2 linked regions of the Daphnia pulex genome follow. The protein of the gene in region 1 purifies or fractionates together with the protein of each later gene. This does not show direct contact. Links are inferred from orthologs where the notes say so. Each region holds a gene or a part of one and is shown in the gene's direction. Other genes may lie near its edges.

Region 1 (4,201 bases):
TCAGGAGCCTGTGAAAAAGATTCTATTCTGGTATGAACACTACACATTGCGTAAAGGACAAAATCGCATCAGAGTCGGAGTTGGACAAGGACCAGCTGGTATTTCATCCGACAGTCAAGCCCTTCGCCTTTCACACTGTCCATACCAATGCGACATATTCAACCGCGAGCGTATTGTCGATTGGGATACGTTAAAATATTACGATGCTATCGTCTTTCATCAACACGGTTGGACGCCAAACGATGTGCCCATGAAAAGGTGGCCACATCAGCACTACATCTTCTTAAGTATGGAGTCATCTGCATGGAGATTTGTGGACACTAAATCAATGGCAAACTTTTTCAATCGCACAATGACGTACCGCAGAGATTCGGATATTTTCAATCCGTATGGCTGGTTCAAGTCCGCTAATCAAGCCGTTATTTTTGACTCGTCACAATTCGATCTAAAGACATTACCACGACTATTGCAGGAAACCCATCTCGATTCAGCAGTCAATTACGCAACTGGAAAAACCAGAAAGGTGGCTTGGTTCGTCTCCAACTGCAAATCTTTGAGCGCTCGAAACGAATACGTCGATCGACTGAAAACTTTCATTGATGTCGACATCTATGGGCAGTGCGGTAATATGAGTTGTTCTCGTTCAAATCCCGAATTGTGTCGTCAAATGCTGGAGCGTGATTACAAATTCTACCTCTCACTGGAAAACACACTGTGCGAAGATTATGTCACGGAAAAGTTTTTCGATCAGATGCGCTACCACATAATTCCGATCGTCTTTGATCTACACGGCCACCACGCACGAATGGCTCCCCCACACTCTTACATTAATGCAGCCGATTATCAGTCCGTCCGGGAGCTGGCCGATTATCTGACTTTGCTAGATGGAAACGACATCCTGTATAACGAATATTTCTGGTGGAAAAAGCACTATGCCAGTGTAGGCTCCGACGATACCAGGGAGGGAATGTGTCGGTTGTGTGATTTACTTCACGATTCCACAGTTTCCTCGAAGACTTATCGAAATATGACTGATTGGTGGGACGTACAGTCGAAATGCCAAAGCCTTACCTTCATGGACAAAAACACTTCTATAAATGACTCGAATTTCTATTGGAAATCTTTTCTTATCTGACAATGCAAAAATTTTACCTGCTGGATTCGGCTGTAGACTACTCCAAATTTATTGTGTATGTGATTTAAAAAGCTGTAAAAAACAAACAAAGTAATACACAAGCTCATTATAGTTTTCTAAGATTTAAAGTATCTACCATTTGTAAGTGATTTTCTTTAGGGGAAATGAATGATGCACACAAGAACAAGAAGTGAAGAACTCAAGAAAACAGCTAGACAGACGACGACTCGATTGAACCGAGCGGCCGAACTGAAAACTACTGTTTAGCCTAACCTTCAATTACTGTATAGCCGGTCCTGTCAATTTTCCATTCGCTTCCGTATTTCCGTCTGTTCTTTGACATTCACGAAAACGAATTTGTTAACTTAAAATAAATTTGCAGGTTTTCGAAATGAAAACCTATTTTTCGTCATTATTTATAGTATTTATTCTTATACAAACAATCAACGGTCTGTATGAAGACCAGATTGGGAAATTTGATTGGTACGTGAGAGGCTTCTTATCGAAATTTTTTTAATTAGACGAAATCTAACGTTTTTTTTCATGATTTTTTGTGTAGGCGCCAGCAGTATATAGGAAAAGTCAGCCATGCAATTTTTGATTCAACAGGAAAGAAAATAGTTGTAGGAACAGAAGAAAATGTGCTTGCTCTCCTTCATGCTGGGACAGGTATTTCTTCCATATTTCATAATTTGATGAGAATGCATGACCTGAAAAATTATTTTTTAGGAAAGATTGAATGGCGCCATCTACTTGGAAATGGACCGAAGAGCAAAATCTCTTCTCTTTTTGTATTAAATAACGGAAAAGTAGCATCCATCAGCAGTTCTCCAACTACTGTGAGAGTGTTTGATATGTCCTCGGGAATTCTTCAGTGGGAAGCAACTGTCGCCAAGGAGAGCCAACCTATTGTCAGCAAATGGGCTGCTTCAACACGTGATATAGTATCGGTTGAAATCAACCCTTCCAAGTCTGGCTATGAGCTACTCTTAACTGAGTATAGCTCCAACAGTGGAACAGAGAATGTTTCACCAACCATTGAGTTGCCGTGGTTCACTCCCGGAACTGATTGCCAGCTGGTGTTTCCTCACTTGGTGTGCCTACATCCTCACGACGACGCCGTCAACGTCGTAGATGTGAGGAACTCCGATTCTCATCAACGGATTCAGTTTTCGGACCTTGGCGTTGCTGTAGGTGCTGGCCAATCGGCCGTTTTCAGCAGCGTCAGCAGGAATCTCGTGTCGTTGAGGACGACAGACACACTTTCCGTGTACAAAGTAACTGACGAGGGACTCCAAAGAATCGGCGCTGAATGGCCCAGTGAAACAGTACTGGTGAGCGTCCCATCAGTTAAAGACGCTGAAGCTCAACAGAGATACATGTCCGGCTTGGTGAAACAAGAAAAAGATTATTTAATCAGAATTTACGATTTGGAAGCCGACAGTATGCTTGAAGATGTCAGTGGGACGGTAAAGCTACCGGAAGAGGTGGGCGAAGCTAATCTGCTTTCCACTTTTCTAATGAGAAAAGCCAACGGAGATCTCAGTTATCGCTACGCCATTGGTACCACCGATGATTCCTTTCATTACGGTATGAACCATATTACTTGTAAAAACACAGCACCTTTTACATGAATTTTCTCACACTACAGGTAGCAAGAAAGAAGTTTATTGGAGTCGCGAAGAATCTTTGACTTCCATCATTCAAGTGGAAATAGTCGATCTTCCTGTTTCTTCCATTGAAGCGTCCATCGAAGAAGAATTCGGTTCAGATCAGGTATTGGGCGGCATCTTTGGACACACCATCAGACGGCTGAGTTCCCAGTTTAGGCAACTCTTGATAATTGCCCAACAGCTCATGGCCGGACAGATCAATTTTGTTCGTCGTGATGCTGTCGGAAGTAACAACAGAGCGCTTGAACGTGATCGCTTTGGCTTGCATAAATTGATCCTCATCGTCACTCGACCGGGTAAATTGTTCGCCATGGACACATTGTCTGGCCGGATCGTTTGGCAGCGATTGCTGAAGAATGTCAACACTGAAAAACTTCGCCTGTACGTCCAGCGCACCAGCATTCACTACCCACTGGAGCCTCAGTGTACCATTTTGGCCAAGAGTTCCACTTCCAAACAAGGCATTTTGTTCGTCTTTCATCCAATAACTGGTGAACCAGGAAACTTTGGTAGCGAAGGCTACGTCAACCTGGGCTTCAATGTGCAGCAGGCTTTACTTTTACCTCAGAATGAAGAAACCGAGTACATTAAACCGTTGCTGCTTCTCGATGAATCTGCTGTTCCACACGTGTTTCCACCGACCGAATCAGCGCTAAGCCACGTAGTAAAAATGTCCGACAACTTGTTCGTGTTTGTAGCCGACACAAAGAGCTGCGTGCTACGTGGTTACTCGCTTGCCAAAAGCACGGCTGACCATCTCTCTTCTGCCCCTGTTTGGCAGTTACAACTTTGCTCATCGAATGACGTGGTGGAGGAAGAAATCGTTTCCATCGTCTCTCGTCACCCAGAAGAGAAGGTATAATAAAACGATAGTTAACGATTTGTTCTTGGTATTTCTGATTTAACATTTTAATGCATTTATCCAGGTCTTTTCTCAAGGCCGCGTATTGGCCGATCGAAGCGTTCTCTACAAATACCTTAACCCTAACATGGTGGTGGTGGCGACTGCCGGAACGAATCACCCGCACCATCGTGGCTATTTCAATCTTTATTTGATTGACGTCGTCTCTGGAGCTGTGGTATTTTCCACTTCTCATCGCCGCGTTCAGTCGCCTTACCATGTAGTCTACGCCGAGAATTGGATCGTCTACTCTTATTACAACGAAAAATACCGCAGGACCGAGTTGAGTTCGCTCGAGCTGTTCGAAGGACAAACGCAAAGCAACAGCACAGCGTTTTCTTCTTTTTCGGCGCCTCAACCTCTGGTGGACAGACAGGCGTACATCTACCCGGCCCACATCACGGCAATGAAAGATACTTTCTCCGAACAGGGAATGACGGCCAAACATATTTTGCGTGAGTGTCATCATAAATTCGACTTTTTTTTATATGG
Region 2 (2,999 bases), on another chromosome or scaffold:
ATCGTTTTGCCACCTACGTACGCAGATAACGCTCAGGCTCTCTGACAATGCTTTTCCGATTCGCACGGCGCCTTTCAGTAACAAGTGTCGAGAGTTTGAACATTTCAAATAAACCGTGAAATTTTTTTTCAGCATTTGGTTGGGGGCGTTGCTTCGCACACAACACTCTTGCTAGCACAATTAACAATAACTCAAGTTTTCAAGTTAAGCCCAATGGCGTCAGAATACTACAAGCGAAGACGAGGGTTGAAGTGTCTGACGGCTTACGCAGCTGGTGGTATAAATAAAAGTCACTCACCAGAATATGAGGATGACAAATTATTATATGGATGTGGAAAGGTTCGACAGCCTTAGACGAAAAAGCTACCGAATGGGAGGTACTGGAATTCTATTAGAAAAAAAATATGAATAAAGCAAAGTTATGCAATGTTAATTTTATTCAAGTTGTTTTACCAAATATGACAGGATCCACCGAAGAATAACGCCCTGCACTCTTCTCGCCACCAAGCATTGTGGATGCTTGGAAAAAAAGACCGATCCTCAGCAGCGAAACGTAGACTCCCTACTCCCTAGGTAACTAGAAGTCTAGAACAAATAAATAAATTGGCATTAGGTTAAGGTTACACAAAATAACGAATAATACAACAATACAATGTATAAACAAAGTTTTCAATAAAAGTGTATATTTCCCCCTCATTTTCCAAATAATGAATTAAAATTATAAAGATGTGATCCTTGGAAGAATAGCAAAAAAATTACTATAACTTGTTCGAAAGGTTGTTGGTAGAGAAAAAATTACACATTGATGTGTTCAACTTTGCATATTTAGAGTTATATAAGATGAACTATAAACTATACCAGGCATTTTTTATGTCATAACTAGTATTGAAAACAACATAGCACGGTAGACATTTGCATTCACAAACCAATGGTGACATTGGAGGATGCTAATTCTCGCTCCATGCAATTCAAAAGCTGCTGAACAAGTTTAAAACTGATTATACAGTCTAAAATTAATTTACAACTGAGAGAAAAAAGGTTTAAAACTCAACCCTAGAATTGAAAACTATTTTGTTACCTCAGCTTCTGCTTGCCATTAACATCAAATGTTAAAGATATTATATAGCCACTATAGGCGACCACGTGGTTGCTGTAAACGAGGTACAATTTTCTGTAAATTGTGTCCTCTTTCAGATTATTTTCTTCGACATTTTACATTAATACTTTGCTACAACATACTTGACATCAAGAATTTACGTCGAATTATCAACGTCATTTGGACAAATATACTTCAGCACAGTGAGCACACGTTCACACAATAGAACAACGAAATTACAACAGATCAAATTCCTCCTCCTCGTTCTTTGTTTCGAAAAAAAACTGAACGAAAACAAATGACGATAAGTTTTATGCTAATAAGCAAAGCAGAGTTGTCAAGTTGAAATTCCCGCAAATGTTACCGATATCGATATACAAAAATTCGATATATCTATCGTGTTACACGTCAGCTTTCGTGCCGGATTTGTATACTTGTAAAACCTGTGTAAAACTTGCCTCTTTCAATCTATTTAACTCATATTTAGCTACCATGAATCACGTTAGTTTTTTCGTTTTATTGTTGGTCGGATTCACAAATGCCTATTACATGACGATAGACGCTCATGCTGAAGAATGGTAAATATCAAAATTGTGATTTGAGCTGTACATTTTGTGATCTATTTTTTCAATATGTTCTGACACTAATTTTTGTGTATGTTGTATTTGATTCAGCTTCTTTGAAAAGGTTTCAGCAGGAACAAAATTAGGTACAAGAGTTTTTAAAAGTTTTCAATTGAGCAGCAATTCTAATTACAATTTTCTGGAACACAGGTCTTACATTTGAAGTAGCAGAAGGTGGATTTTTGGACATTGACTTCAATATTGTTGGTCCCAATGGTCAGACGATTGAGTCTGGTGAACGTGTGAGCAATGGAAAGTATGCCTTCAAAGCAGACATGGACGGAGTGTACACTTACTGCTTTTCCAACAAAATGTCTACAATGACTCCCAAGATTGTCATGTTTACCATTGACGTTGGAGAGCCTACTGCTGAACTTCACCCAGATGCAGCCAGTATGAGGATTCATTTCTTACAATTATCCTTGCACATTCTGTACTAATCATTATTTTCCCAATGCAGATGGAAATCATACCAAGCTGGAAGAAATGATCAAAGAACTCTCAGGCGCCCTGCGAACAGTGAAACACGAGCAGGATTACATGAATCTGCGTGAACGCGTTCACAGGACCATCAACGAAAGCACAAATTCGCGAGTTGTGATGTGGTCATTTTTCGAGGCCTTTGTCCTTTTGACCATGACTGCCGGTCAGGTGTATTATCTCAAGAGGTTTTTCGAAGTCAGACGAGTGGTTTGATCAATTGAGAATGTCCATCCAAAATAAATTTGTGACTCTTGTGTAAGTGAATAAGGTTTAAATAAACATGAATTTCAACCATCATTATCATTGATTTAAATTCAACGCATATTGTTGCTGGTATTGATATCGTGTATTGTATATGCATGTCAACAATCAACATTGGTATACAGCAAGAGTAAGTGAACTTACTACATCATCTACCAGCTTTCCAAACACTCAAATGGACCGAAGATGATTATTATAGTGAATGAGCTATTAAGAAATGACTACAATCTCAAGCCCCATCGGTAATCTTCGTTCATTTTTATCTAAACACTGATAAAGAAGTGAAAATTTCGAAAAAATGCATTCACAATAATGTTTTCGGCTTTTTCTGGCTTTTCTTTTTTTTTTTTTTTAATTTTAAGTTACGATGATGACTCCTTCACAGATATTTAATAAATCTAGTATGCGTGGTTCTTGATGAACAAGTCGTAAGCGGCAGCAGCTCCCACGCAAGTTCCAGCGACGTATTTGCCCTGAGCGGCTTCACCGTTGGCCTGAATATATTCGTATCAAAGGGTTTTAACATTCCATATTTC

Evidence for each region.
Region 2: the proteins of ER membrane protein complex subunit 1-like (region 1) and transmembrane emp24 domain-containing protein 2-like purify together in Homo sapiens (affinity purification with mass spectrometry; 3 studies listed by BioGRID and IntAct, with this or other methods). This does not show direct contact. The link is inferred for Daphnia pulex from reciprocal best matches to the Homo sapiens genes EMC1 and TMED2.

Annotation. Positions count from the first base shown.
Region 1 is NC_060018.1:527,823-532,023, forward strand, and holds the start of ER membrane protein complex subunit 1-like, read left to right. Parts: upstream 1-1,401; 5' UTR 1,402-1,526; coding exon 1,527-1,618; intron 1,619-1,694; coding exon 1,695-1,804; intron 1,805-1,864; coding exon 1,865-2,725; intron 2,726-2,786; coding exon 2,787-3,664; intron 3,665-3,734; coding exon 3,735-4,164; intron 4,165-4,201. Other genes in the region: alpha-(1,3)-fucosyltransferase C-like, read left to right, coding at 1-1,135. UniProt on the Homo sapiens protein: Part of the endoplasmic reticulum membrane protein complex (EMC) that enables the energy-independent insertion into endoplasmic reticulum membranes of newly synthesized membrane proteins.
Region 2 is NC_060024.1:13,238,504-13,241,502, forward strand, and holds transmembrane emp24 domain-containing protein 2-like, read left to right. Parts: upstream 1-1,496; 5' UTR 1,497-1,588; coding exon 1,589-1,674; intron 1,675-1,770; coding exon 1,771-1,805; intron 1,806-1,869; coding exon 1,870-2,112; intron 2,113-2,179; coding exon 2,180-2,415; 3' UTR 2,416-2,499; downstream 2,500-2,999. Other genes in the region: fructose-bisphosphate aldolase-like, read right to left, coding at 2,862-2,957. UniProt on the Homo sapiens protein: Involved in vesicular protein trafficking. Mainly functions in the early secretory pathway but also in post-Golgi membranes.